4 linked regions of the Caenorhabditis elegans genome follow. The protein of the gene in region 3 interacts with the protein of the main gene of each other region in a pairwise test. Each region holds a gene or a part of one and is shown on either strand. Other genes may lie near its edges. The genes, in order: odd-2, taf-11.1, flh-2 and src-2.

Region 1 (6,400 bases), on a different chromosome or scaffold from region 3:
CGGGTTTAGCCAGCGTTGCTCGTTTATCACTACCGTAACAAAATTACTCTGAACTGTAATCGATTGGCAACATATGAATGATTTTATCAATGAGAGGATTCAGTTTAAAATTGGTATCTCACGTGATCAATGAAATATGAAACGATTATTTTACAATCAAAATGTTGAAAAGTAACTATTCTTTCAGTTTAGAATATGGCATTGAAGTTTATAGAGAATCACGTAGAATTTTGTGTTCAAGCTTTCAAGTATTCCAATGATAAATAACATTTTGCTGTTCGGTTTACGAAATTATTTTAAATCATCACATCATTTTTTTAATAGACCATATTTTTCAACAACTCTCAGAACTACCAAATGTCAGTAGAAACAGTCTGAAAATCATTCTGAATACAGTCAATTTTCTCTTCAAATTCTTGCTATTACAGAAACATATTTTGTATAGGAATCTTTAAAATATACCTTTCATAGCTGCCGATGAGCACTTTGAACAAGAAAATTCATTCAAAAAATGACTAATTTTTTAATACGGTTTTCATAAACCTGTTTTTTTTTGAACATATCAACAAATGATTAGATAATTGAAAAAAATAATGTTTTCGTCGGTTGTAAGTTTCTTAACAACACACAAGTTTAAAACATATTTGTGCCAGTTTGTCTCTAATATGACTCGAAAATATGAAACTTTTCTAAAAAAACACTAAAATGTATAAAACCGTGTGATTTAACGTAATTAGAATTAGGAATAAATAATTAATCAATAGTGTCAGAATTGAGCTTAAAATTCAGTAAATGTGAAAATTGAGCGATTTTTTGTTTCTAGTCCATTCCGTATTATGAAAAACAAAACATACACCACAAAAACATTTTTTAATGCAATTTAACTTTAAAAAACATTTTCATGATTTTCAAAAAATGGGATTTTTGAAAACATTTCTGAAAATCTCAAAAAGCCCATAGCAGATTGCTAGTCGATTTTTCAACTTTCTTCTCCCTGTTGCTCTTTGTTTTGAAGATCAGAGTAGAATAGTAGTTACAGAAATGCTTTAGTCTTTTCAATCACATATCAATACTAGATTTCCGGCGAAAAATTCGAAAATGACCCTCAAACCAAGTGGTAGTCTGATCGCAATGAAAACTTCTGAATAAGACAAAAAAAACTGAATTTAAAAAAATCAGAACTTGTTTATTTCTAAGCATGGCAAAACAAATTTATCTTCTAAAAAATACAAATAAAAGCATTTCTCACACGACAAACCAAAGACATACTAATGTTGCGAAACATTACTACAACATGAAACTATTCAAATATATTTAATTGTCTGAAAATTTACTATGCTAAATCTTTAATGCCCAACAAAAAAACTTAGTTAAAATATTTTCAAGTTTGGTTTTCAAACCAATTTAGGAAATATGTGAGATAATTAGGGTTTTCAGAGATTTGGAATGAAATCTGTGTGCACAGTTTCATGAATTAATAGTCAATGCTGAAACTTCAATGAGCTAGCTCAAAAATTTGCACATTGTGAGCCCTTTGCTGTGGAGCTCATGCTGCCTTCTATCCTCTTCAAATCATTTCCGGTTTGAAAACAGACACCCATCTGCAATAAACGGTGCCGACCGTGGATATTGCACATATGATCCCTTGCTGCCCTCTTGTAAACTCTATACACCGTATTGCAACGTCATTCAGAAAATGTTTTATTTTTGGTACAATATTGTATCTGACACAATCACAAATCTAAAACTTTGACCCTATCAAGTATGAAGAGAGAAGGTAAATCGAAAAAAATATAGACATATGAAAAAAAAGAGTAGCATATATTGGAAAAAACAGATGATCCTCAAGTAATACTGGACAACATGAAAATGTTTAAGCAGGAATGACAAAATTGACCGTTTTCATAAGAAAGCCTAGATGCCAAATACTAATTCTCAGCAGAATTTAGCGATCAGGTGAGATTTGTGGGGATGTCATAGACGTCGAATTAAAGCTATCAGTGAGATTTTGAAGAATTAATGTTACTCGTGGATCCAGTTCAGGGAGTGGTGTTTCACTTTTGATTGGTACAACTGGAGCTCCAATACTGTGTCGGTTTGGATCATGTGTTGCACGGTGGACGAGGAGAGTTCTTGATTGGCAGAATCCTTTCCCACAGATTTCGCATTTGAATGGCCTGTCCTTTTGGTGGATATACTTGTGGTCTCTAAGATGATCCTGACGACGGAATGCTTTTCCACAAACATCACACGAGTATGGTCGCTCATCAGTATGTGTCCTTTCATGGATCAGGAGGTTGTAAGACTTGGTGAAGTGACGATCACAATATTTGCAGATGAATTCCTTCTTTGGTCGGGCTGCTCGGCCAGTAGTCCTTCCACGTCCAGGGATCATGAACCTAAAACTAAATAGTTGAGATGATACAGTATAAAATTTCTTATCATCATATCGTACATTATGATACAAGAGCTTACCATGGTTGATCGTAAGGAACAAATGGTCGAACGGCTGCAGTAGTGAGCGTCGGGGACATTTTTGGAGACACACTTTCTTCTTTGATCTTCTGTTCAGATTCAATTGAATCAGCCATGTGAGTGAAGTCAAATTTTGCTTTCTTGAGATCGGTGATCATTGGAATTTCTGGATTCATAGCAAGCAGCGCCATTTTCCTCTGCTGCAGAAAATTTTGGAGTTGGAGGTGTTGTTGTGCAAGCATCATTCGAAAAACTTGTTCATTTGATTGAGGAAAAATTGATGTTGGAACTTGTCGTTGCCACGGAAGCATTTTTGTGTGTGCGGGAAGGGCTAGTGTTGATTCCAGCTGAAAAGAAAACAATTATTTCAAATTGATTTGAGGTCGCAAAAATAGCGGAACGAGCAAATACGATTTGAAAAGAGGGAAAAATGATGATACCGTTGGGCAATGTAAGAGAGCAGAATTCAGAAGAAGGAGCGATAGTTATTGTTTGCTCCTTTTCAAGAGAAGTTGTCACTTTGTTAACGAGTATTATCGTCTTATGGGGTAATCTACTACAAACAAATCTAAAAGGAGGAGAGGACTGAACAGGCGGAGCACAATGTTGCGGTGGTGGTAGGGATGACTGTCAAGAAAGAAGGAGGATCACTTACAACTCAGTGGGATACTTTGACTCTATGGTGCCGCTTTTTTGGGAGGAGGGCGACTCACATTTTACACCACGCGTCATCTATGAATTTTTATAGACTCGCTAACACTTCTGAATTTTGGAAACGGCGATAACGAATGATTGGAAATGGAAGAGGGGCGAAATTGAAAGAAATTCTTTGTGCTGGTCGGTAAGTAGAAAGGTTTTGATGGCTTGTTGATGCTCGGGCGCATGATATTATCAAGTACACGGCGGCTATAAAAACGGTTGGCTTCCGTGCTTCGGTCCTACATCAAAGGTAGCCGACGTGCACGGAGGTGTTAGGGGAGTGTTTACCAAACAGTAGAGGTGTATGTGACTAGAAGCTATCTATCTCATTTGCAAGTTATGAAATTGAAGAAAATGAGAACCACATTTTCCATATTGACTCATAGAGAAAACCAGCAGAAAAGAGTCGAAAAGTGTAGAAAAAGTAGAAAAAAGTAGGGGAAAAATGAGAAAAAGGGAAAGCCTTTTCGGGTGAAGACTCGCGGTGATATGCAAACATTAGACATTTTCAGAAGGAAGAAAGTTAGCAGAAAAAAAGAAAAAAATCACAGTTAAATATGGGCCTCTTCTATTGACAATATGATGATACTGTGACTTTGACTCTCCCCGTTTTTCTCACTCTATTTCGGCGATGTGGAAAGAAGAATGGTGCCAAAAAAGAAACTTTGGTATCAATGGGGAAAAACGAAAGCGGACAGGGAGCAGAATATCATTCTCAACCTATTGTTATGATAAAATCGTATCGCGAGCCACCTATTTTCCCGCTTTTAAACATCTCAAAAATTTTTTGCTTCATGTATAATAGTTTAAAAACAAGAAATGATACAAATTATGATGCATGCTGGCCACATAAAAAACAGTAGAACCCTCTTCCGTACGGTTGCAAAACACAATTGAAAAATGTGGGTAAAACGGCGGGAAATTTGTCATTGAATCATATTAGCGGTTCAGACTAATACTAATACAAAATTTTATATGCACTTTTGTCGAAAATTTGGGCACTACAAACTGTATAAAAGTTTGATCTTAATTTTTCAGCTTGAAAATGATTTTTTTAACAGATTCTCCAATATGGAATTTCCAAAAGTGGTACTTTTCAATTTAGTTTTCACAGAATGTGCTCGAATGAGCACTGTCTAACTTAGCTAGCTAGCTACTGTGTAACGATAAAACTGTTGAGTTAAGACAGTTTTTGTTAGAGATCTTCAACAACTCACACAAATAGTTGAAAAATTTGCAGAACCAAGTTTTCAGAACATACAATATCGCCTATACTTGGTAGAATGGAGGAACTGAGTGGCTTCCCAGAAGCAGACGGAGGCGGCCACCACCTCGTGTTCAGCTCGTCTTCTCCTCCGACACGCCCACTGTCTTTGCTGCTGCTCTCTCGGCGGGCGCTGGTTGACTGACTACGGTAGGCCCTGTGCTGCCGTGCACCGCCTACTTTAGAAGTAGAAGTAGATCTTTGAAGATTTCATGACACCCTTTTCAAAGAAGTTTTAGACCTAACTATACTTTTAAAAAACCGTGAAACTGTCTGGAGCGATAAGAAACATAAAAAGCGCCTTTAGGTCTGGATAAAGTTTTTCTAGACACACGGGAACCGAATCTATAGAGAAATTCAAAATTTTTGATTAGGTAACTGTAGTACACCAAAAACATAAGTGACATTTTATAACTTGACTGATGACAACTTAGGACATCTTGCACTATTTAGATAACATTTGCACGACAGTTATACACCTTTCTAGCTACTCGTTAATGATGAGTTATGGAAGTAAACTGTCCTATTATAGTGAACAGAAATTTTGAAAATACACATTAAAATTTGACATAAAAGAGAATGACTTGGAATATGGAGTACCGCGCGGCAGAAAAACCGCCCACTTTTTTTTGAGCAAACCATTTTTCTTGGCTATTCTCCGTTTGAATTTGGTTTCAAAGACGACGACAACTTTTTATGAAACCTATCATGTTGGGGTGGTACGTGTTCCTTTTATGACTCTCACTACATAAACGTTCCCTTTTGGTGCAACATGCCGACTAATGATAATTGACTATTATCTTTGAAAACACTAGAGGTGAGTAGATGGGATGATAGTTTAATGATAAAAAAGACTTGGAAAAAATGAATCAAAATTCTATTTACCTGAAGATTATCCACCGTAGTGATGCCAAAGTCAATCACAAAATGAAATAAGGTGTGAGTCAATGATGATTTCCGGAAAAGGTGTGCGAATCGTGCAGAACAAGGTTCTTTCTGTGTGAAGAAGAAAAAAGGGTAATGATAACAAAAAGCGTAGGCTTCTATTTAGTAGGTAGTTTTAGGGGTACAATTAATCCGCTTACTGCAAGTTAGGGAGGAGCGATAATGCTGACAAGATGCAGTTATCATGAAGTTTTTGACGCCAATGTCTCGGTTTTGAAACAAAAAGGACATATCGGCTTATAGGTATGCGAAACTTTGTCCCAAGCAGTGGAATGATGGGAGGAATGTGGAAATTTTTGTAATTTCCAAGTAAATTTTTAAAAATTCTATTATGTAATTTCCCATGTCGGTATCCTCATAACCTCTGTGTTGAAGACTCCAACCGGTGTGAATTGTGCATTTCCATTAATCCCCTCCTTGAAGAAATGATACTCCCGGCTCTCATCCCAAACAGAACCCCCACTGTTTCAGACAAATAAACATCTTCCCTTTGCGCAACACCCCCGGGTACCGACTCCCAGAGTATTAGAATAGGAGGAGAACTTTTTGTGACGATACAAAAGAATAAATTGAAGGTATGTTGAAAAAGAAACGGACAGAAAATTCATTAGTGAGCGACGAGGGAAACCAGCATTGTTTTGTGTTACTGTAGATTATGATATCAGTTAGATTATGACACAGAAAAATTGTCATTTTTTCTTTTGTTATGGCAGAAGAACAGAAGACGAGGTAGATTTTTTGAAACCCTTCCAACAGGGTGCCACCTTCCGGCGGCACTGGTTACTTACCTAAAGAAGCTTGTCATACAAAAAATGCATTGATCAAGCCTGATAGGTTATTGTACCTTCTTTTCTTATTGCCTTGTTTGATCGCTGAAGAAGAGGTATGGAACGATATTTGGACCTCACTGATGAATAGCGAGGAAACAAAGCGGGGAGGCTGGATGAAAGGTGTCAGCAAGCATGCCGGCAGCTTACAGGGTTTAATTGTTAAATTCTGATGCCGACAACACATCAG
Region 2 (6,787 bases), on a different chromosome or scaffold from region 3:
CTCATATCATTTGAAATCATCAGATTTTCAAAATATCACTCAAAAAGCTGTGTATTATTCTTTGTTCACATGAAATCTGGAATCTGCCAACGCAAAATGAGTAACAAGAAAAATTTTGGGTGCGCGTCTATAAGCTTTCAGAAAAATCCTGCATGAAACTAGGATTTTCTCCTGTTTTACTTTTTTTTTCTAAGAATACTTTTCATCAAGAAAAGTAAATGGTGAGAAACACTAGAATAACTTCTTGAGGAAATCACTGGAAACTTAAAGGTGCACACGCAAAATTTTCCTTTTTTAAAACCACCGCATATTTCTTTGGAAAGTTTTTTTGTTTATTGAATGTAAACAGTACGACGGTTGCGGTATAGTTATAAGTTATAGGTCCGAGCAGGTGTTCAGACTCCGTTCTCTAATATTTCTTTAAAGTATTATTTTTCACAAGTGTTCCAATAGAAGTGGAAACAATAAAAGCAATGAAAAATATGGGGATAACAAGTCACTTGGGAATTCACACTAATGTATCACCTTCTAAGAAAAAAAATCACATAACAACTATACAGTTTCCACTTATTAACTATTTTCATACTTATTTAGTTTCGTGTTATAGTTTTCATAGTTTTTTAATTTGTATTAACATTACCAGAAACTTCACTGCACCATAAAACTTAACACTACTTTTCTATTCAATATTATTTCAGATTATGCCGGCTTTGCAATGGTTTTTATTCATTTCCAGTTTAATTTCAATTTTAATTTACACTATGATCGTTTTCACTTTAAAACGTCATCGATCAAATGCTCTACTTGGCGGTTCCTTTTTTAGAATTGTGGAAATGCAGGTAGATCTTTGAAATATAAGTAAACATCACACTTGATCAGAAATTTCACCAGAAAGAAAATTATATTATGGAGAAATATCAAAAGATTAATTTTCAGTATTATGCGGAACTATTTTTCTTCGTCGAATTTTCAATCACCATGCGCTTCAGAAAATATAGCTCGCTTTATGCATTTTTCGAGCCAGACACGGAATTTCACGGTATCATTCCGCGTATTGTGTCTGGATTTCATTATTATATTAAGGTAAGGTTGAATTCAAAAATTACATTTTTCTATTTTTTCTATTTTATTTCAGATTGTGGTATACATTGGGTATCTAACGTTTGCTCTGAATCGACTCACTTCCGCACTCAATATATCATCATATAACAGTGTGAATATTTCAGTATGACATTAACTTTCAATACTTAGCCCTAGTCTTCTTGATCTGTCAATGAGTTTCCTTCGTGTGTCATTATCAGTTTCAACGTGGTTTTGCATGTTTTTCAACCAATTCAAAATTACTCATTACAAATAAATGTTTTTTTCAGATTTGGACTCCAAAGCTTTTACAGCGAGTCAGAATAGTGAAATGGGCACTGCCTTTAATAGGAATTCTACCAACTCATGCTTGGCCGGGTTTTACTTATTGGTTTATGATAACTTCTTCATCTATACGATTAACAAATGATTCCTTATCCACAGCGGTATAATGCTTACTGAGAATTTGAGATAATAATTACTTTATAATTTCAGCTTGTTGCATACGTTGACGGAATTTGTTGTCTTGGAACGTGTGTTTTCTGCATGATTTGCTATACTGCAACGTGTTTCTTGATACGGAAAAATTGGAAACGTGTGAAAACTGACACGGTTTGTTGAGTTCAAAGTTTATTTTGGTAAAACTTTAAAGAACGATCCGTTACCACTTTGGATCAGAAAGTCAGGAACAGCCTCCCCAGGTGGTGCTTCCAGCTATTGTCGTCCTAACATAAATCAAAATCTCAGCCTTAAAAACATTTAGAAAAATATCTGTACTTTAAGGTATTCCGAAAAAACAATGCACAATCTGCTGCAGAAAGAAGTCTACTTGTTTCCGCCATTTTATCATTTATCGTGTTAATATTGAACACTGCTGTACAAGTTGTTACCATTTTAATATCCTGGGGTGGTGCGACAACATTACTTTTTGTTCAAGACCTCTCGTAAGTCATAGTTTTTCCAGAAAATTGTCATCACAAACCAGGAACTGGAAAAAAATTAATCTCATTCGACCTTCTAGAACAAACACATTAAATATATAAGAGTGTTTTGCTGTGCCCAAACAGCTGGTGAAACTTTAATAATTTTCAGATATCCTATGATTGATCTTATGTATTCCCATTTTCCATGGGCGTTATTAGTCACGTCGGGAGTTCTGAGGAAGCAAATGATTTACGATACAAAAATTTTCCTACGAACGTAATATTTATCTGGTGAAGGGTAGCATCTTTCAAAAAATGTTTTAAATTTCAGGGCTTTCAAGCTTGACGATGCATCGGTGAACACAATACGGGTTGGGCATACTGTATCTCCCGCCACACAGAAAACAACAAATAGGACGCTGGCTTAATTGGTTTACGTGTAGTTTTAGGCACTTTTGAAACAGCATTGTCACTGTTAACTATTGTTTGGAATGTTGTTATAAAAAATTTGAATGTGTACTCATTTAATTTACAACTGAATTATGGGTTTAGCTGAATTTTTCAGGAAACAAAATGTTTTTTACTAAGGAACAACGGAAGGTCCAAAGAATTTCATGAACAATTACAATGGGAAATTTAAATTCACATTGTGAAAATTTTTTTACAGCGACTTTCTCATAATAAAGTCTAATTTTGAGCAAAATCATTAGAGTTTTGAACTCACCGGTTTTTACTACCTTGTTTTGTAGTAAACTTATCAGAGTGAACCCAGTTTGGCTTTTGTGAATGAATATAGCAGTTGCATGATCAAGACCCAATGATGTATGGGAAACACAGTAAATTAATGCAAATGGGAATGCAATGTATTGTCATTGCAGCGGATGTGGCAAGATCACCACGCATCTCCAAAAACCGTATTTGGAATTCTAATTTCAAGTATCAGTGTGCTAATTTACAAACAAATAGTTAGTTTTTGGTCCAAAAGTTCACAAAATTTTATTTAAAATAGTACTGCTATATTTGAATGATTAGACTATTTGAAATATTCTCAAATGTTTTCATGGTACACGTGTTTCAAGAACTCACATTTTCAGTGAACTTAATGTCTAATTTCTGCTTTTTCAGATTTTTTTTTGTTGATATTTTTGGATTTTCGAATTCTCAAGTTTCATCAATTAAAAAAAAATTTAATGAGTATGAAATTTGTTTGGTAAAACAAAAAATCTCCAAATGTTAATCCTCTTATTCCTCCCAACCATTGTGTTTCTCAATTAGACAAATCGTCAGTGTCTCGAGTGCCCTTCGTCAATCGATAAACTGACCTCTGTCTTCCCAACCAACACACTGAGACGCGCTCTCCACACAACGCTGGCCTAGAATTCTCCATTGCCGCGTCCTCTCGACTGCACACACATTCAAACACACACTCTTTGCCCGGTTTAATACAGTTTTGCATTTTTCTCACGAATAACGACGGTTTTTTTTTTCCATTTTTTATTGTCTGTTTTATAGAATAAAAATGAATGCCAACGATTTGTTTGGTGGCCTTAGTGAGAGCAGTGGGAGCAGTGACGAAGACGACGACACTGTGATGCCACAACCAACAGGCGCTCACAATGTGCTTGCAGATTTGGAGCTCAGGTAATCTTTGCTTATATTATTAAAATTATATCATATTATTTTTTCAGCGATGACGATGGAGATGAGGATTTTTCAAGAGATGGAATGCGCTCTGACGAAAACCAAATTTCGCCGGGACAGGAGTCCGTACCAACTCCGATCACACCGAGAGCACCAGTCGTCTTTTCACTTTCCGACGGAGAGGATTCTATGGATATGCCGGACATCGACCAGATGATGATGAAACGGAATGCCGCTGCTGCCGCGGCCGCTGCTGCAGAAGAGCAAGCTGCTCGAGAAGCTGAAGCTGATAGAGTTGCGGAGGCGAACAGAGCTGCGGAAACCGCCAAGACTGCTGAGAAGCGAAAAGTGAGTCATTTCTTGTTTCCCGACGATGTATAATTATAATATAATTGTAGATTGATAAAATTTCAAAAAGCGAGCCACCAAGAAAGCAGCCACGTCATGATGATAACTCTGAAGCTGGGCCCAGCGGGCAGATTTCGGTACGTAAAATCTGTGATACTTAACTAATTCAAAAAGAAATGGACTGAATATATTGGTTACCCAATATTAATCGCCGATGAAACACTTTTCAATTACAGGGAGACGACGACCTTCTGGACACAAACATTTCGCTGGAAAGCTTCGACTTGAGCAAAGTAAACGATGCAAGGTACCAAGCATTGATTCAACAACATCAGCCGGAAGAAGAAGCGTAAGATTTTATAGAAGAAGTATCGATGCGTTTATATAAGAACAAAAAGCACCCAAACGGACAAATTTCGTATGGAGACTTCTCAAAAACTTCCTCAAATTTTTTTGACCGTTCACAATCTTGAGAAAACACTAATTTTAGCCAACATTTCCAATTTTGCAACGTTTGCGTGTCGCAGCAGTATATAAATATAAATGAGTAGAATCCAGAATTAATATAACTCCTTTAACACGCTGGCACATTCGATTATCTAATTTATTCATTTTTCAGGCCTGGCCCCTCACGTCCAGCACCAGCTCGTCCAGCGCGGAAACTTGACGATGAAGAAGAAAATGAGCTTTCGCGATTGAAGACACAAGTTTTGCTTTCCAACTTTTCACAAGAGCAACTGGAAAGATATGAGTCATACAGACGGTAATATTGGTAATAAAACACAAAAAAATAATAAATGATGAACTTCAGCTCTTCATTCCAAAAGTCGACTATTCGCCGTTTGATCAGTCAGTACACTGGAGGAGTGAACGTTGGACAGAGTGTGGTCATCGCTATCGCAGGATTGGCTAAGGTGTTCGTCGGTGAAGTTGTCGAAGAAGCATTGGATATTCGTGACATAAATGAGGAAGAAGCTAGCAATCCACTACAGCCGCATCATATTCGTCAAGCGTTCCTCCGGCTCGGAGAGCAAGGAAAGCTATTCCCACCAATTGGTCCGAAACAATCCCATCTTGAGTGAATAATTATTTTTCTTTGGTTTTCCGTTTCATTTTTATTGCTTTGTTTTACATATAATCAGATTCTAATGAAAAAAAGTAATCACTGACTGCCTATGTGGAAACAGAAAACTTTAAGTTACATTTTGACCGGAAATTTGTTTCTCTGACATTTCAAAAAATGTCACGTGCACAAATATCAACATAGAACTAACTAGAAATATATCTAACCAACTTATTTTTTCTGAAAGCAGTGATCAACAATTTGCCGTTACATAATTGTAGATGTCGGCGCAGTTTAGTTTGACACGGACACTCGCCAACTCTCAATGTGCTCTGACCAGTCTGACTCGCGATGCCTTTGGAGCAAACGTTGCTTTTCATATTAGGCCTGATTTCAGCTCTTTTATATTCAATGATTGTGAGAACACTTAGAAAACATAGAAAAACATCTCTTCTCGGAGGAACTTTCTTCAAGCTTGTTGAGCTGCAGGTATAATAACTTTCTCCTAGAAATCTTTTTTATTAAATACTCTTTACAGTTTTACGCTGAATTAGTTTTCTTTATCGAATTTTCGATCACAATGCGGTTCCGAAAGTATACAGATTTTTACATGCTGTTTGAGCCAGATACAGTATTTATTGGTATTATTCCGCGAATTATTTCTGGCATACATTACTACATTAAGGTATATTTTTTAGTGATCTGGAAAACGTTTTCAAAAATTAAATAAATCCGCCGAGTTTCATAATCAGACCTTGAGAAGTCGTTAAAAGTCGTTAAAACATAGTTCAAAAAAAGAGTAAACTATGAATAATGCGGTAATTGAGCTTACTAGTTCTCCACGTTTTTGTACGTAGAGACTCCGGCTTTTTTGAGAAAATGTATGTTAAAGCTCATAAGTACCAAAATTCGTCATGCTTTGTGCACCTGAAAGTCAACAAACTATTATACAAACACCAACACAACCCGTAGAATTAACGATTAAAATGTGCAAAATGAATTATAAATTTATTAAAAATTATCTTTCAGCTATCTAGTATAGGCTAGTAAAAGTGGAGGTTATAGCTAAATTTTAACTTTTTCTGTTCAATTTTTTGAATTTCGGAGTTATGTAAAAAGCAACTAACGTAGCTACTTTGCTAATAAAAGTAATCAACAAATGCACATTTTCCAGCTTGTTGTCTACATAGGTTATTTGTTTTTTGCTGTTAATCGACTTTTCACCGCTTTGATGGTGTCTTCATACGACAAGGATAACATTTCGGTTTGTTGAAATTCCAAAATTTTCAATATTTATTATGTCTTTCAGGTATGGGGTACAAAAACATTGCAGCGGATAGCCATTGTTCAGTGGTCTATTCCAATTCTTGGACTTCTGCCAACACATGCGTGGCCCAATTTTGACTTTTACCTTCTCATTACTCCAACTGCAATGCGGCTGAATAACGATGCAGTTTCAACAGCGGTATTCAAAAAAAAATATTAGTTGAAAATTATTGTTCAAACTTCAGCTAATTGCCTACATTGACGGAATGTGTTGTTTGGTGACTTGTGCATTTTGTATGATTTGTTACATTATAACAATGATACTCATTAAAAAGAATTGGAAGAAAAGCTCAAACACGGTACAAAATTTTCAGATTTTCAAATCAGAGGTGCGCGGCAATTTTTCATAATTGCCGATTATCGAAGTTTTCGAAAATCGGCAAGCGCTAAAATTTCCCAAAAAAAG
Region 3 (8,031 bases):
TCAAAGTTGGGAGAGCAAGCTGGAATAGTATAATACTCGTAGAATAATTTTTTGAGTCTTTAAAACCTCCAATTGTCTTTCCCTCTTTTCGCTTAAAATGGCTGCCTATATACCTATAGGGTAGGCCTATTGGTTTCCTATGCCTGCTAGTAATACTTGAATCATTTTCCATTTACCTGTTAAACTTGCAAGAATTTTGAAATTCGTAGATCCAGATAAGTGCAAACATGGAGTTGACGCCAGAAAGCAGAAAGTAGGCGGTAGGCAGGCAGGTCAGCAGACAGGCATGAAGAGTACTAAAGCCTACTATAACTTACTAAACAAGCCGTAACCCGTAGGTTGAAATTTTTGACAATTTGATAAAAACTATATACCCTCTATGAGATGAGGTAAAAGGTGTACTGTAATTAGAGGATCGAGAAGTAAATTTAATGTTTCGAAATGCACAATTTAGTGAGTTTAGGTATTTTGACCATTTCCACAAAACTCTGAAATTTTGATAGCTCACAAAAATGATGTCTTTTAGCTTTAATCCGTTGGTGCCTAAAGATTAAAATTAAAATGATGTAACCAAGATAGGAATATTATTTTCAAGCTGAAATTTCTATCTGAGCCCTGTAAAACTGCTCCAAGAGATCTTTTTTGCAGACTTCTGTGATTTTAATAGACGAAGAGAAGTAGGCGAAAATTCCGAAAGCTTTAAGGAAATACATTTTTGAATCTGAAATTTTTTTGACTTCACTTGCGCGAGCAATAGATTCAAAAAACTTAGAACTTTAAAAAAAAAAATGAAAGTCTTCAAAAAATCTATCTTTTTTGGAGCCTGATGTTACATTGTCTTACTTTTCTTGTAAACTTGAAAAATCTAGATCTATAACCACTAAATTCAGTGAATATTTTCATTTTTCCCATCCATCACCTTTGTTTTTTGCCGTACTAGGTGGTGATGGTGACACGGGAATATGGAGAAAAAAGAGGCGTAGAAGAAGAAGAAGAAGCGGTGACGATAATAGGTACGTTGGTCTAAAGAAAAAGAGAGAAAGAGCTTGTTTGGGTGGTCTTCTTTTCTTTTTTTTCTGCTTCTACTCTCGCTCCCCCGTCCTTCTCTCACTCCACCACGAGCGCCTCTATTTTGACTGGCGCCGCGTCGGTCATCTGACTGCTTCTCTCTTTTTTTCATTCTTTTTCTCTTTTTCTCTCTATCCATCTTTTTTCGGCGCGCGCTTCTCCTGGCGCTTCTCGTGGGCTCTGGGAGTCAGGTCCCTTCTGCTTTTTGGCTCCGCTTCAACGGAGTCATTGAGCTCACGAAAAGGGCATTCCAAGTTGGTATTTTTTGGTTTAATATTTATATTTTCTAAAAATTTAATTATATTGTTATTCATATAGTTTTTTGTAAGCTTAAAAAATGATTGTTTTCGTTAGTATCTAACCACATTGTAATAATTGAATATTTAATTGTTTTTTCCGGTCAGGACTTTACATATTATTCATGTTAAGCTAACTTTACAGATAATCATAAGTTTATGAAATTAACAAGAAAAACCGCAAGTCTTGTACAATACTTTCGCAAGTTTAAGGGTCTGCAGACCGGCCTGGGCTTATGATTGCTCTTAGGATTAGGCTCAGGCTCAGGCTCAGGCTCAGGCTCAGGCTCAGGCTCAGGCTCATGATGAGGCCTAGGCTTAGGCTTAGTTCGTTTTTTTTCAGATTGTCTTGATTTCTTAAAATTCGCGTCATTAGACGAAATTCCCGCTAGGTATAGGCCGCCTCCGACTGCGTTTTTACTTTTTTGACCAATCTACCATCTAATTCTAGGGTTCTTTCATTATCTCTGTCACTTTTTCATTAAATTTGTATCTTTCAAAAGTGATGAATAACTGAGTTAAACCAACACAGCATGGCGCCAATAAATCGTCCGTCGCCGCGTCCTCCTCCCTCTCTCCTCCGCCGCGGCCGCTTCCCGACGCCATTCCGCATATATTTAGTGGATTCTACTGATGTGGAGCCAATGGAAACCGGGAGAGGGGAGAGGCTCCAAACCGGCGGACGGACCCCTGCTGCGACCAGCTGGCGCCTGGCGCGACCATTTTGTTCCCCCTCACTGCATCGTTTACTACTAGTGCAGTCTCTGTCAAAAGAGCACACTCTCTTCCATTTTTTATGTTTACAACAACTCGAAGAGGGCAATCTTAAACTATTCATTGGAATTTTGGAAAACATCGGAACATTATCTAAATATTTTTAAGAAGTCTACGAATTTTGAACTTTTTGAAAAAAAGCAATCTAGCAAAATATTTTCAACTAAATAACTTTTTATCATATGTTGAGGAGGTTTAGAAAGATTGAAAGCACTACAATTAGAGGTGAATTGGAATGTCCTTGTTTGCTCTCTGATTAAAAAAAATACAAGTTCTAGTAAAATAGTTTTGTAGATCCCAATCCAAACCAGAGAAAACTCATGATCTCACAATTTTGGAATAACCCTATCATATTTTTTCAATTCTCCGATGGTACCACTTCCTTTTCTTCTATTGCACCTAAATATTAATATTCCCTTTACTTTTGTTTTTTGTTCACCTTAATCGCAATTGTCACTTAATTCCTCTATTAGTACGCTTCTTGCATCTCTTGGATTTGTTATTCAAATGTTCTAAAACAATTGAGACATACCGTGTAGATAGTTTTGAATTCATCGTATTTTCCATTAATTTTCCTCTTTTCAGACCGCCTGTATGGTGGACACCATGATGAACACAAATACAGATGGTGTCACAGCGGTTCCTCCGATCTTTCCACTACCGTCGACGACACCAAACAGAAATAATAATAATGAACTGGCGATGTTGGCACAGAAGCAAATAGTCGCCGGATTACTGTTACAACAACCAACGATTGTGCAGGCAGCGGTGAATGGAACCAATTCGCAAAAACATTTGGCAGATATTGACTATACGAATGTTATTCAGGTGAGAGATGGGCTCTTTGTGGTTTTGACTCCTTGATTAATATATTGAGTTATAGATGTGAAATTGATTCTCTTGAAAGACTTTTTAGATATTCATGTTCGAGTAAGTCTATCTGTTATTTTTCAGACTCTTCAAGCCCTTGGCACTACAAATCTAAAAGCATTCTCTCTACTTCTTGATCCACAATCCCAAACATCTCAGTTAATATCTGAAGATACACGTCCATCTGCCAGCTCATCACCGTCTTCAACTGCAACTGCAGTATCTAACAGTGGACAATCAAACGCAACATCCACGTCATCATCGTCCACAGAACCCGAATATAAACCGAGAAATGTGCGAGAAAAAGTGTATGCAGATGGATATATCATGTCATTTGATAAGAAATCGTGTTGTGGAACTAAAGAATTTTGGAGATGTGAACGAAAGAATGATTGTAATGCAAGAATGCATTCAGATATCAATACACGAGAAATTGTGAGAAAGTTACATCCACATAATCATGAGAAACCGTCGCCCGAAGAACTTGCATTTTATGAGCAAGATTTCTCTACTCTCCATCCAAATTATTGTCATCCAGTGAAAAGTGTGAGTTTTTTTGAGCTAAAAGATTTATGGTGAATATTCAAAACTTGAAATATTCAAAATAGTTAGAAATAAAAAGTCGAGAAAGAACGAAAATGTATGTACGCCGAAACGTTATATGTATTTCGATTTTTACTAATCGCCCTGCTTGAACTTCCTCTAAAATGATAAATGTTAGACCAATCAGCGATTCGCTCCGCTCATTTTCCAACCAATCAGACGGAGTGGGCGGAGTTTAAAGACGCAGTGGGCGTGGATTTTCATCGCGGGGGGTTACAGGGAAACCAGCCAAAATAAAAAAGTTTTTTTTTAGTTTTCGGTAGATCCTGTAGGCAGGCAGGTAGGCACAACACTTATTGTTAATAAAACATTCGGATTATGTGTAACTGCTAATTTCATGTTTTTTGATTTAAGAATTCCAAAATTTCCCAATCTTTTTTAAATTGAAATCTTTTAGATCAACCGATCCTACATGCAACGAAAACTGAGCCGTGCCTCACATGTATCACAAGCTCTACCAATTGCTCCACAACAAATTAAAGCTGAACCAATGGAAGTTGACACGACAAATCAAACAATTCAAAACTTTCAACAAAACAATAATTTAATGCTTCTCGCCTCAATCAATGCAGCAGCAACTGCGGCTGCAGCTGCAACTTCTGCTGGAATAAGTCCGCCGGTTGTTGGACAGAAAAGAGTATCAACGACTGTGATGCCTATCACTTTGAAATCGGTTTGTTTTTCTTGAATAATTATGCTTTGTTCAAACATCATAAGGTTGGAACTTTTCAAAACTATAGGTTTGAGCCAGAAAAACGGAAATGAACTAAAAAAAATGATACGAATTTCTAAAATTCAGGGCCAAATTCGAAAATTTCGAACAACTTTGGAATTTCTTAATATTTTCAGCAACGCACAACTCCTAAAGAAGAAGAAGATTCATCTCAATTGATGTCACAAGAAGAATTCCGTATCACTTACGAATTGACCAAAAAGCTCATGGAAATGATGAAGCCAAAAACTGAAATTGGAGTTCGATGGCAAGGAGATGAAGGGTCAATTCTTTTGTTCTTATCACATGATAATGGAGCAGAAGAGAATGTCTTCTTTCCGGTGGTTGTCATGAATCGTGATGAGGTAAGTAATATAATTTCTGGAAGCCCGAAAGACTGAAAGCAGAAAACAATCAACAATTATTTCCTAAAAATTTATAATTTTCAGAAATCCCTAATCACTGCGTTAGAAGGATTCACTGGCAAACGTTGCGAAGGAAAACTTGCTCTGTGTTACTCACAGAGGGTTAATGTGCTTGTACATGAAGCGGTAAGCGAATCAATTTTCTAAGACTAGACATGAGCCCTGGTAGAGTTTTGCTACGTGGCGGTGAATATGAGAAAACTCTTCCACTTTTCGAAATTTAGCATTGATTATTTGTATTTGTTGTAGGGGAAGCTCGAAGACCTGTGGGAAAGCTCGAAGATTTTTTCGAAAGTTTGGCAGTTTGTCAAATTTATCCTACAAAAAATCTAAATCAAGTCATTTTTTTCTAAGCATTTCTGAACCTTTCAGCTAATCAGCAATTGGACACACGGAAAACTATTTCTCGTCAACACTGATGCACCGGCTCTCTGGCGTCTAACGCCCGTCGACGCTTTCGGCGAGCCTTTAAACCATGTCTAAGTGATCATTATTCAATTAATCGATAGTTTGGAGTCATGAAATTATAACTTGACCGACTGCAACGTTTCGCTGCACGCTACATTTTATTAGTTGTCATGAACCTATAATATCGAGCTCCCGGAGCAATCATATAATTACAAATTGTAAATTTTTTTTTAAATTTATTCCAGCCATTTTCCCCTCTCAATACCTCTCCCTTATCTTGTCTCTATAATCTTGTCTGTTTCTCAACAAAAAAGCTCGTCGTCAGGTCCCCCATTTCCGGATCTCATTGTGAACTTTTCAGAAAAGTTCGCAAATTTTCATATTCCTTGTCAATTCCAATCTCTATGTCTCCCTTTTATTGTGCTCTTTCCCCCTTATAAAATTACGGAAACCACCCTCTCCAACTCAGGAAAAAACCCCCTTTATATGCTCCTTTTCTTTTGATAAAATGATATCGTTCAACTAACAATTATCCCCTGATCACTTACATCAATAAATTGTTTCTATGAAATAAAAATATATATAAAGTGGACAATTGAACATGAATAAGTAAAAAATGTTGCTATAATGTCACCATTGTGTTCTAGCATTAGTATGTCTAAGTCCATGAAAAATTGAGTACCTAATCGTAGCAAAGAGATGAGAAATAACCAATTTTGTCATCAAGTTCCGAATTCATCAAAAAATATCACAAAAGAGCTCCAACATGCTCCAACAAATACTCATCAAATTTCGTGACATTTTTGTCGAGTTAGAATCTTCAAGAGCCGAATTAATAGATGTTGCTCCTCTAGTAAAAGTGAGTGTTTGTGTTTTATATGACAAAATTAGTGTTTTTTTAATTTTGAAAACTATTCTTACAGCTTGTCGATAAACTCGGAACACGGATGTTCAATTGTTAACTTTTCAGACTGGCGGTCCGCATAATTATGGGCCACCCTGTAGTAAGGGTCGGTCTAGACTCCAATTATACATTATCAAAAATATGTAGAAAGAACATGACGCTCATACAATTGTGGCTGTTACATTGACGATTACATCAAAAACGTTGCTAGGAAACAAATTGAAACGTTTTTTATCTTAAACAATAGAAAACATGTTAGCTAAATATCTGATCGAGACATAATTATTGCTTTAAGTGTGCGAAAATCAAGTTTTACTTGTCAAGATTGTTTTGACCATCTTGCAATTGTTCTTTAGAGATATGAGAGAAATAGTGCAGTTGTAAATTCGATCATTGCAACTGCAACAATCATTATCAAAATTGAATAGTGTTGATATCAAAATACATTGAAGATCCTTGAAAATTGAAGATTACACAGATGTAAGTCATTGATAAAAACTGCTTGGTTTGAAACAATGATTCAAGACTGATGATAGAAATTATTCCGAGAATTTCAGAAAAAGGTATGGCCGGAGAGTACCTTGACAGTAAGTTCGTGACTCAACTAATCGCTCAAAGCTCTATTTCAATTCCTTGGACCATTGCTTGAACCTTCTGAAAATAATATTTGTGGAGGTCAAACCGTACTGAATCATCGTATTCAATCGAGTTGTCAGCATAAGATCTGATACTTGTCTTAGTTTGAGAAGAATGAAAGAATTCATACAAACTTGCACACTCTCGCACGCGCAAAGCTTTTCAATTAACTTCAAACCTACGAAGTACGCACAAAAATGTTATCCTGTAAGCCTTCACGGTGACCTACGGCTGCTGGGAAGGCAGTCATGAGACAGGCACGTACGTCTGAATAGTTGATTTGACATGGAAGCTTATGTCGGTTTCTGTTTTCGTCAGAATGATCAGTTTCGATTTTAACACTTTGCTTTTACACTTTTTTCTCTTTCATTTCCAGCTTCTAATTCGAAAAAATATTTTATTATCGTTTGGGTGAACGTGTTTTCGCTATTTTTCTTGTTGGGTCTCGCCACGATCTCTATCATTTTAGCTTCTAAATAAACTTCAGAAAATCGTACATTTAATGTGGGAATTAAGATTTATCGGGATTTCACACTCTAAAAAGACAGAAATAGCAGTGAGATCCTGGTTTTACCCGCAATTAAAAAAAAGGCATTATTCATCAAAACCTATGGAAATTTTCGAAAAACGTCATCGAAAAAATAATTTCGAAATGTTCTGAATCTATGAATATTTTAAATCATTAAAAAAAAAATTCCACGTAGTTAGTAAAACCTTTTTGAAAGGTAAACTTACGCAGTCTGTGACAAAATTACTTCATTTTTCGCTTAACTTTATCAATAATACAATGGAAAATGAAAGGAGTCGCTTTAAAGCTGGTCCCTCGGGTTAATGCGACATCAAAAAATGGATGCCTTAAGGAGGTGGACAATGCAACGAAAATCAATTCAATATGTGAAAGTGCTCCGAACACAGCAAAGCTTCTGCACTCTTGCATCTTCCCGAAGATCCCAACAACTGTCTGTTCACAATATTCATTATCGCCACATAAGACTCATTTCGCGATGTTTATGGAAATGTGTGGAAGTGAGCTGACTGGAAGAATCAAGTTTAAATCAGACGAACAAGTCAAAAGTGTAATATGCCAAATCATTTTTTTCTTGGTCGCTGCTCGAAAGAAGAGTGGATACTCGCACAATGACTTCCACAAAAGAAACATTTTAATTAATGATACGAGAAAGGAGACAATTTGTTACAAAGTCGAAGGCACGGAGTATGTTTTGAAGACGAGTGGAGTTTGGGTAACTGTTATCGATTACGAGGGAAACACGTTCGATGGTTAGTTAATTTTTAAGGCTAATCTATTTAGATTCAGAACTTACATTGTCTAATTCA
Region 4 (10,374 bases), on a different chromosome or scaffold from region 3:
CAATGGAGCGTACTTTTAATAATTGGAAAATTTGAATATCTCGCTTTGGAAATGTGGTCCTCAAATTTTCTCAATGTAATGCGCTTACACGTGGTGTAAGAGAGTCTCATTTCGGATTGATCTACGTTGATCTTCAAAAAATGCGGGAGTGTGCGGGACTGATTTCGCATGGTTCAGAACATGCTGACGTCACATTTCATCGGGCAAAAAATTCCCGCATTTTTTGTAGATCAAACCGTAATGGGACAACCTGGCACCACGTGCGCTTGATAATCACAATTTTTGGAATGGAAAATCCTAACGCTCATTGATCACTTTTTCGTTGGAGCGCATTTGCAATAAAGTATAAAATATCGAGTTTTTGTTAGAAAAGTTAAAAAGCCGAAAAATTGAAAATTGGACTCAAGAAAGCACCAAAAAATGCGAAAAATTGCTAAAAAATAATAAAATTCTTCAAGCTTTTGAACTAAAGCCACTTCCACTGTTTGTGTGTGTGTGTGTGAATTTGAACTTTTTACCTAGACCCCCCTCCTCTCCTCGATATCCCTCTTAATATTTGCCGATCATAAAGAAATGTTTGAAATGTGATCAGGTTACTCTTACCTGGATCTTAAGCCTGGATCATAAGAAAAATCAATAATTTATTAAAAAAAAAACAGTATTGAGCAAAAAAGAACACACACAGACAGAAAAAATCACAAAAAAAACCCGTAGCTGCTGTATATAGGCACCCAAAAGTTTCTCTCTCTCTCTCAGAAATTTATGCTGGCCTCCTTATACTCGGAAGAGTCCAGATTGAACAGATCCTCCAACTTCCATTGGAGGGTCTCAAAGGTTGGCCGTTTGTCCGGGTCGCTTCTCCAGCACTGTTGCATTATGTCGTAAAGGGTGACTGGGCACCCGGCTGGGCACGGCATACGGTACCCGGCGTCGACTTGTTGTAGGACTTCGGCGTTTGTCATACCTGGAAATGGTAAAGAGGTGTCATTGTAGTGTGATCTACATAAATTGCGGGGGGATTTTCGCTTTAAATTTGCCATTTCATATTCCCAAATGGTTCGTAAAGGACCAGTTTAGTAACCTAGACGTGGTGTCAGGCTGCCCCATTTCGGTTTGATCTACGTAGATCTACTAGAATTGCGGGCATTTAGACGCAGACTTTTCAACTGATAAACGTGCTGAAGTCACATTCTTTTAAGGGAAAAATTACCGCATTTTTTTGTAGATCAAACCGCAATGGGACAGCCTGACACCATGTGCTCGTGTGACCTCCGGAAATGGCGGGAAATTTCTTTTTTGAAATGTGTGGCGTGTTTCTGGGGTACTACACGGTTTGATCAACAAAAAATGCGGGAGTTTTTCGTTCTAAAAATCACTTTAGAACTCTGCGTCTCAACTCCGCGCATTTTTTGTAGATCTACGTAGATCAAACCGAAATGGGACACTCTGACACCACGTTCTACAGTAAAACTTAGGCTACATCGCATTTTTCAAAATTTGAATTTTCCGCGATTCCCGGAGATCAAACGGCGAAGGGCGCAGGAATATTCCACATTTTAGTTGACGCGACCTATTCCCAAAGTTTTGCGAAATTTTCAAGGCCCCTTCAATAAGGGACTTAATTTTTATAATTAGCGAACTGGTACCATTTTGTAAAAAAAATAATTTGACCTCAATAAAAGGCGGGATGTTAGTTTTCAAAAAAGCTCATATGACGTCAAAATTTTTAATTCAAATTCCCGCCACTTCTGGAGGTCATGCGGCAATGAGACCATCTTACGTTGTGTCAGGCTGTCTCATTGCGGCTTGATCTACAAAAAATGCGGGAATTTTTCTCCCAGAAAATGGTGACGTCAGCACACTCTTAACCATGCGAAATCAGTTGAAAAGTCTGCGCCTAAATTTCCGCAATTCGTGTAGATCAAACGGGTCGGTTCAAATCCTCACCTGGATAGGGTAACCGTCCGAACGTGACAATCTCGGTGAGCAGGATTCCAAAACTCCAGACATCCGACTTGGTTGTGAATCGATTATAGTTCGCCGCCTCGGGCGCCGTCCATTTTATCGGAAACCGTGCTCCGGTTCTTGCTTCGTACTCGTTCTCCTTCATCAATATCCTGGCTAACCCGAAATCTGCGATTTTTACAGATAGGGAGTTGTTGATAAGGATGTTTCGTGCTGCTAGGTCTCGATGGATGAAATTCATCTCCTCTAGGTAGGCCATTCCAGCGGCAACCTGCAAAACTTTTTTTGAAATTTTTTTTTAATTTCGAGGAATCCGAACGTGAACCTCACCTGCGCCGAGATCTCCACCAGCTGAGGCATCTGACACTGCCGACCTCGTCGCTGTAAGAATGTGAGCAGATTCTCCTGCATTAGCTCGGTGACTATAAGAATCGGCTCATCACGTGTGCAGACTGCATACAGGGACAGAAGCTTCGGATGCCGGAGCTTCTTCATAATCTGTGCCTCGGCTAGGAAATCCGTAGGATCTGCGGTTCCGGCCTTTAGCTTTTTCACAGCGACGGGGACGTTCACATTCCATCGGCCTTCCCATACCTGGAAATTGATGGTTTATGTAGTACATCCAGGATCTGCAAGCTGATTTGCAAGTGCGCTCTAATTAAAAAATGACAAATGTTCTCACTAGAGCGCACTTAAACATGCAAGCATAAGGGGGGGGGGGGCGGGGTTAGGTAAAAAGTTCAAAGTTCAAACACACACTTTAGTAAGCTGTAGTAAGAATTTTCGTATGTTTAGCCATTTTTCGCATGGTTTTGAAGCTTCATAGATTAAATTTCTTACAAAACTCATATTTTCGTTCATGCTTGCAAATTTAAGTGCGCTCTAATGAGAACATTTGTCATTCATTTTAGGGCCTTGCTATCTATATTCGAGGTTGAGTTTTTACTCATGGTGCATCGACATTTCCTTATAACCCTAGTGGTAAATCTCTATGTTCCAGATCCCTTCGTTTTATGAGATCTCCTAGCGGAACTGATGTTTGTAGGGGAGTGATATCATGTTTCAAACCGGTCCTATCTGTTTCAATATTGGCGGCTGTAGCTGCTCGGATCAGGAGATGGAAAAGTCAATAGAAAAAGGGGAAACCGTTTTATCCGGTTGTTTTAGGATCTACACTAAAAGCCCCTGGATTAAGAAAAACACGGAAAAATAAAAGCCTGAAGTTTTTTAGTCCATAGGCTGAGAGGTTTCTGGGAGTTACACTCAAAATAAAAAACTAATATTTAGGCCCCGCCTTTTTCTCGTCCGCTCACGGAGAAAAGGCAAAAATATTGACCCTAACCAATATCAGGCCGCCGACATCTCACGGGTTTCGCGCGCCGCTGCGTTTAACTTGCTGTGGGCGTGACGAGCTGTCTCCGCCCGCTGCGAGTTAAACGCAGCGACGCGCGGAACCCGTGAGATGTTGGCGGCCTGATATTGGTTGGGGTCAAAATTTTTGCCGTTTCTCCGTAAGTGGACGAGAGAAAGGCGGGGCCTAAATATTAGGTTTTCTGCAGTACACGCCACGCAGTTTTTTTTTATTTTGAGTGTAAAGTAGCGCCTACACGGATTTCTGGCTCCCCTCATAAATTGAGATGGAAGAGTTTGCCGAACAAGGCCATTTTGGATCGGCCATATCTGGGGTAGAATTACGGCGCGTTGCGTGTCGCGTCGCGGCTCGATTTTAGTTTTAAAACTTGTTGTAGTTGTCCGTGTGGAGTGCACGATTTTCCCACGCGTTGTCCAGGTCAATGGAGCGCGAAAAAATCAATAAGGAAGGCCAGAACCCCGTGCGCCTAGAAATATCAAGAAAAATTCTTGCTCATGCGATTTTTTGGGGTTTTTTTTACAAAAAAACCTAAAATTTTTCAGGCTCTACCCTAACAATTGTAATTTGGGGCTACACATGGTGCATCGGGGACCCACCCCCCCCCCCCCCCCCCTGCAATTTTCCCCTAAGATCATCTCCTTACCCCCACTCAATTAGCATATCTTCTCCTGTTTATCTCGTTCTCCATCAATTCTCTATACACACACACACACACACACACACACACACACAAATATACATCAAACACGAACGGAATAGGCAACAGGAGGAGGAGGAGGAGGATGAGCCTGTGCACACTATTTGGCGGGCTGTGGGGCTGGCGGGCAGGCAGGCAACGTGAATAAGCAAACAACCGAAAGAGAATGATGATGCTTACCTCTCCAAACTGCCCGGCTCCAATTTGTCGAATGAGACGAACCGAACGGCGGTCCACTTCCCATTGGTCATCTGGAATGGGAATTTTGAACATTTTTAAAGGTAACTGGGCGCCTTGTGGGTCCCTGGAATTGTTTGGCCTAGTAGGTAGGCACAATAATGCCTGCCTACCTTTAAGTCAACTTTGGCCTGAATTAGGTTCGCCTTTTGCCTACTGGATTTACCTAGGTTTGTAGTAGGTATCTAAGCATGTAGTAGGTATCAAGGTATGTAGTAGGTATCTAGGCAAGTAGTAGGTATCTAGGCACGTAGTAGGTATCTAGGCATTTGGTAAGAATCTAGGCATTAAGTAAGCACCTAGGTATCAGGTAGGCATCTAGACACGTAGTAGGTATCTAGACATGCAGTAGGTATCTGGGAATGTAGTAGGTTAATAGGCACGTAGTAGGCATCAAGGCATTTGGTAGGCATCTAGACATCAATAAGTTACCTAGGTATATAGTTGGTATCTAAACATGTAGTAGGCATCTAGACATCAAGCAGTTACCTAGGTATGTAGTAGGTATCTAGGCACGTAGTAGGTATCTAGGCATGTCGTAGGTATCTAGGCATGAAAAAGGTATCTAGGCATGTAGTAGGCACCGAGGTATCTAGTAGGCATCTAGGCAGATGTAGGCACCTGTCAGGCATAAAAACTTCCAGCTTACCATATGTGAATGTCGTTGTCTGTGGGGCTTCTGACTTGGCACAAGGAGCTCCCAGATTCACACAAAGACCATCGGCTTCTCGTTGGTAATGTGCAATCAGGTCGTGTAACGTGGCAAACGGGCGCCTCCGGGCGATAAAATACCCGCCGTGGTCCAGTTGACGGATACGGTAGTGCTTTACGCTGTCGTTCTCTCGGACTGCAAGAAAATTGGGATTAATAGGGGGATTTTGGACTACAAACTACAATCTTCAAATTTAAGAAAACTTGGAATTTGATGAGTTTGTTTTTTTTTTGACAGTTTTTGGAATGTTACAAAGGAAAAAAAAATACTGAAATATTATAAATTTGAAAAATTCAAAATTCCCAAAAAAACGTTTTTTGGTAACTCTCAAAAGAGCTTTGAAAGGTTTTCTACAAACTACAAACTACAAACTACAAACTACACACTACAAACTACAAACTACAAACTACAAAGCACGAAATACATATTTTTTTATAATTTTTCAGAATTGTAAAATTGAAAATAAAGATAAAAACTTTTTGTAATACTTTCAGAAAAAATGAAATCTATCAGTTTTTCAAAAAACATTTATTAAAAAATTAGAAAATTATTGGCAAAAAATTCAATAAAATTTTTTTAAAAAAATCGAAAATGATTTTTCGAATTTTTTAAAAAAAGTTTTAAAAATTAAATAAACATCTATGTATATTCCATCTATTTTTGACAGTTTCCATCTAAATTCCCCCATCCCAAATTACCCATCTAAACCCATCAAAATCTCCCAATTTGCCTCCTTTCTCCCAAATTCCCATTACTTTCGGAATCATAAAAGGTCGGGGCGAGCGGGGATAACCTCTTTTCTGCCTCTTACTGTCACCGCGCCTTTCTCATTTTGTTGTATCCGACCTTGATTATCTCTCCCAGAAAACCGGTTTTCGCCCGCCATGTGCCCTATGGGGCGCCCTTAAAAGTTCACTGACCTGATAATGATAAATCATGCTGTCGACTTTCGGAATCTCTCACTAAAAATGCTCCGTGCTCATTTAAAGTGTGCAATAGACATTTTTCCGCATCGATTCGCCGCATTTTTCCAAAGTACCACCTGGAAATTTGTAAAAATTTAGATTTTCGGATTTTTAAAATCTTATTTTTTGAATCCCTGTAACTCTGCAATAAAGCAAGCTATTAAAAAGTTGTCAACTATTAAATTGTAGCAAATTTTATGTTCTACAGTTTGCTAGTTGCCAACTTTTTGATATCAATCAATTTTAAAAAGTTATCATAGTTTTAAGGCCTACACGGATTTCTTCTAGAAATCCCTATAACTTTTTAATGGTGTTAGCTATAATATTAAAAAGTCGCCAACTAACAAAATATAGGGAATATTAAGTACTTGATTTTAGGTACTACTACCAGTGAACTACAAAATTATTCGAGTTTTAAGGTTTTAATGTGAGTTGGAATTTTTCTAAGTTTCGTAAAAATGTTATTTTTTTCAAAATTTCGTTAAAGCTATGTAACTCTACAAACATTAAGTTACTGAAAAGGTTCAAAATACGAAAATGTAGTAAATTTTACAATTAACATTTTGTCAGTTGACAACTTTTGCCGGTAAAAATACACTTAAAGAGTTGAACCATTTCTACGCCTGCTCTGATTCCCCGCTGACACCTCTAAAGTGCTATAACTCTTCACTGGTGCTAGCTATCAAAAAAGTTTAAACTAACAAAATGTAGGAAATTTTCTGCTCTACAATGTGCTAGTTGACAATTTTTTTGTATCTCACAAGCCAAAGGAGTTATGACAGTTTTAGTTACACCTGATCAAGCCCCTGTGACAACTAACAAAGAGGCGCTGGATAGCTCAGTAGGTAGTGGTAACCACCAGCAATCTGGAGGTCACAAGTTCAAGTCCGGCCTCTCTCCCTAGGCTGGCTAAAAATTCAAAAAAAAAAAAACTTACGGCTGTGACTCGATACTTTTCTCCCTGGCAACATAATTCGACGGGATATACCCAGTCCGTCCAGTTGCCTTGTGCCTGGCGAACCACCAGTCTCCTTGGGTATCATTTAGAATTTCAAGGATCTGAAAGAATGAGATATGGAGTTTCAAAAAATAAAATAAAAAACTAACATCATCCTTCTTAAAACTCAAATCATCATCTGTCCGTGCATCATATTGGAATAAAGCGACAAAATTCGCAGATTGCGAGATATTCTGATTTTTATCAATCGTATTTCCACTGGAAGACGCCGCAATCGGACCGATGGACGGAATTCGTGGATGACTTGGCAGTGACTCCCTTCCCAACGTGGATGACGTGTGGACTGGTGACGTTGCACCAGGCGGTGGATCCTCTTTTCCAATACAGGATCCCATGGGGAGGAACGGACGATCCTGGTGTCGTCAGTTTTTTGATTTGGGAGGTTCTGGAAGAAATTTAGATAGTTCTGGTTCATTAGGGTTCGCTGGACAAAATATAGCGTTTTAAAATTGTCAATTAGCAAATTGTAGATCAAAAAAATTAAATTTACTACAACTTGTGAGTTGACAACATTTTGATAGACACTAGCACCAATTAAAGTTATAGTTATAGGGGTTTCCAGGAGCCAGGGCAAAATAGGTGTGGGCGTTAAACTGCCATGAATCGTTTAAATATATATATATATATATATGCCAATTTGTTTTTTGATATGCCAATTTGTTTTTTGATATGCCAATTTATTTTTTGATATGCCAATCTATTTTTTGGTATGTCAATCTATTTTTTGATATATATATATCAAAAAGTGGTCAACTAAAAAATTGTAGATTTCAAAGCTTACTTCGTTTTATCAGTTAAAAACTTTCTGACTACTTGACACGCTGGGGAGCTACAGGGTTTATAAATCCAGAAAATTCATTTTTAGCGAAACTTTAGGTGGGAATTTGGAAAAATGCAGCGATAAATGTCTGCTGCACAATTTAAAGGAGCCTGGAGCATTTCTTTGTAAGCGATTAAAAAAAAGGGCCCAAGAAAACTTGCAAAAATTTTTAAGATGATCAGTCAAGTAAAAATAATTTTGGACTAGTTTCAAAAAAGAAATAACACAAAACTTGTGAACCAATAAAATACTTAATGCGAAATTTTCTTATATTTCTTCGTTATGGGGTTTCAGGGGCAAGCTAGGACTAACTAGCTGTATTAAATCGACTATAACACCTTCAGATTAATAAATATAAAAAAGTTGTCAACTAACAATACATTACGCATAAAATTTGCTACATTTTTTTAGTTGACAACTTTTTGACATCTAGCCCCAATAAAGAGTTGTATGGATTTCTAGGAGCCATAAAAATAACTTTCTGGACTACTACTATATCTATTTTATCCTGAAAAATATGAAAAGTTGTCAGCTAATAAAAATCAAAAAATTTGACCGTAAAATTGGCACTAAATTATAATATATGAGTTACAACTTTTTCAATATATCAATCTTCTAGAGTAGAAAATTCAGTTTTTAAAGTAAAATTTCAAGCTAAAAGGTTACAATAAAGCAGGAAAGGAACTCATAGTATTAATCGAGAACTATTATAATTTCAGTGCCTAGAATTTAAACTGAAATTTCTCTCGAATAAAGTGAGCAACAAAATTTAGGGATCAAAGTTTTTTAGGCTAACAATATTCCGACAAGGTGTCAGAGTGTCCCATAACGGTGTGATCTACAAAAAATGCGCCAACTGTTGTCGCACGGTTAAGAACGTGTTGACGTCACAATTTTCTGGGCCAAAATTCCCAGTTCCAGGAGTTTTTCAGCCAAAGCTAAAAAATCTTTTAAAAAAGGCCTAAAAACTATGTTCCAAAGTAGTAGTATAATCTAAAATTGGGGGACCTAAAAGGAAAACTACATTTTCTATCTTTGGCGAAAATTGTATAATAAGAACTATGAAAATACAAAATATTAGGTAAAAAACCCAAAAGCCGGAAAGAAATTCATTTAGCCGGTTGCTGGCTAGCCCACCGTCTTTGGGGTGAAAAAGAAGAGGGAACTGTTTTTGTCTCATTCTCTCTTCATCCCTCTCACTATTTGTCCACCGAGGTCAGGCATCTCTCTCTCTCTCTCCCTCTCTCCGCCGCGCCGTTTAGCAAACATTTGCGGAACGCGCGTGCCTTAAACTCCCAATTGCAGGTAGCATACTGATCCCAAGAGACGCAGACCTACAAAAATGGCAATTTCGACAGCAGCGGAGGCGCCCGCGCGCTGGTGGGAAAACATCTTTTTTTGCGCGCGGAGAGGACAGGGAGAGAGAGAGGATGATGAAGCTGTCATTATCAAATTAGATTTGATTAACAGGCTAGGGATTTAAGCTTTCATTGGATCGGTAAACTTTTTATTAAAATTTTTCAAATTTTTTGAGAAAAAAGAGCGAATTTCTGGAAAATTCTGGAAAGTTGCAGTAATTTGAGAACGGCTCCAGAAAAGAAAACTTCAGGAAAATGTGTAACTGCTAAATTTTTAGTTTTAGGAGTGCTTTGGATTCTAGGATTCTACAAATCTAGAAAAGATGATATATTTGCTAGTTAATAATATTTTGGTCGAACAACTCGGTGTCACACAGCATTCTCGTAGATCTAAGTAGATCAAACCGACATGGGACGGCCTGACACCACGTGCGACTCAGTTATTCAAAATTAGTCGATAGAGCGCACTTTGCCGACTTTATAGTTTTCTGTAAAAGCGGGCTACATGTAGCGACAGACAATTTGCGGGCGGGAATCTAATGTGCTTTATTCAAAATCTTTTTTATAATATTCCAAAGAATCAATAATTTTCCAAAGGATCAGCCACTTGAGATGTTCATCCGTATAGGATGGTTTCGGGATTTCCAGAGGGGCTACCCTTTGGGGCATCTCATCGGAAATCTGAAAAAAAACAAGAAATTGAATTTAAAGGTGCCCAGCTGTCCCATCACGGTTTGATCTACAAAAAATGCGGGATTTTTTTGCTCAAAAGTTCTCTGAGCATGTGTGAGCACGTGAGCACGTTCTTAACCATACAAAATCAGTTGAGAACTCTGCGTCTCTTCTCCCGCATTTTTTGTAGATCTACGTAGATCAAACCGAAATGGGACACTATGAGAGATGTGAGCCTCAACCAATATAATTACGTCTGAAAGGGTGTCATCGTCGCGGACTTCTGAAAATTAAAAAAAATATATAAAAAAATTACATATTCAACTCACTTCTCGGCTTCTTCTTCTTCTTCCTATCCTGAGCTACTGGAACCGGCTGAGCTAGTTTCGTAGCTTTCTTCTTATTGACTTGAACATATATTGGCGCACTTTTTCCGCTTCTCAGTTGATTCTTTTCAGTCCGCTCATCCTGAGCCAGTGGGACCCCGGGAGCGAGTAGCTTGTCATGACGATTCTCTCCTTTTTTACTCGACCCAACTGCACCTTCCTAGAATGAAAA

Evidence for each region.
Region 1: the proteins of flh-2 (region 3) and odd-2 interact in a two-hybrid assay, tested with the Caenorhabditis elegans proteins (one large-scale study listed by BioGRID).
Region 2: the proteins of flh-2 (region 3) and taf-11.1 interact in a two-hybrid assay, tested with the Caenorhabditis elegans proteins (one large-scale study listed by BioGRID).
Region 4: the proteins of flh-2 (region 3) and src-2 interact in a two-hybrid assay, tested with the Caenorhabditis elegans proteins (one large-scale study listed by BioGRID).

What each region holds. Positions count from the first base shown.
Region 1 is NC_003284.9:6,157,700-6,164,099, forward strand, and holds odd-2 (Protein odd-skipped-related 2), read right to left. Parts: upstream 2,829-6,400; 5' UTR 2,787-2,828; coding exon 2,476-2,786; intron 2,400-2,475; coding exon 1,946-2,399; 3' UTR 1,678-1,945; downstream 1-1,677. UniProt on the Caenorhabditis elegans protein: May function as transcription regulator. Required for morphogenesis and function of the digestive tract.
Region 2 is NC_003284.9:4,251,655-4,258,441, forward strand, and holds taf-11.1 (Transcription initiation factor TFIID subunit 11), read left to right. Parts: upstream 1-3,515; 5' UTR 3,516-3,522; coding exon 3,523-3,644; intron 3,645-3,691; coding exon 3,692-3,992; intron 3,993-4,042; coding exon 4,043-4,129; intron 4,130-4,228; coding exon 4,229-4,341; intron 4,342-4,611; coding exon 4,612-4,755; intron 4,756-4,803; coding exon 4,804-5,074; 3' UTR 5,075-5,158; downstream 5,159-6,787. Other genes in the region: srv-5 (Serpentine receptor class gamma), read left to right, coding at 702-839, 937-1,083, 1,136-1,225, 1,371-1,526, 1,576-1,692, 1,864-2,024, 2,173-2,280, 2,335-2,431; srv-6 (Serpentine receptor class gamma), read left to right, coding at 5,407-5,544, 5,594-5,740, 6,230-6,319, 6,365-6,520, 6,567-6,680.
Region 3 is NC_003281.10:4,949,401-4,957,431, forward strand, and holds flh-2 (FLYWCH transcription factor 2), read left to right. Parts: upstream 1-2,723; 5' UTR 2,724-2,732; coding exon 2,733-2,966; intron 2,967-3,092; coding exon 3,093-3,554; intron 3,555-4,008; coding exon 4,009-4,284; intron 4,285-4,460; coding exon 4,461-4,688; intron 4,689-4,772; coding exon 4,773-4,874; intron 4,875-5,120; coding exon 5,121-5,231; 3' UTR 5,232-5,771; downstream 5,772-8,031. Other genes in the region: C26E6.1 (Protein kinase domain-containing protein), read left to right, coding at 7,491-7,974. UniProt on the Caenorhabditis elegans protein: Probable transcription factor. May bind to the promoters of target genes, including micro-RNA genes, in order to repress expression, and acting redundantly with flh-1 and flh-3.
Region 4 is NC_003279.8:14,319,214-14,329,587, reverse strand, and holds src-2 (Tyrosine protein-kinase src-2), read right to left. Parts: upstream 7,352-10,374; 5' UTR 7,302-7,351; coding exon 7,056-7,301; intron 7,008-7,055; coding exon 6,886-7,007; intron 6,026-6,885; coding exon 5,904-6,025; intron 5,119-5,903; coding exon 4,921-5,118; intron 4,286-4,920; coding exon 4,215-4,285; intron 2,560-4,214; coding exon 2,296-2,559; intron 2,237-2,295; coding exon 1,948-2,236; intron 965-1,947; coding exon 753-964; 3' UTR 623-752; downstream 1-622. Other genes in the region: F49B2.9 (uncharacterized protein), read right to left, coding at 9,691-9,825, 10,071-10,099, 10,146-10,362. UniProt on the Caenorhabditis elegans protein: Non-receptor tyrosine-protein kinase which may play a role in larval and pharynx development. Unlike src-1, does not play a role in embryonic development.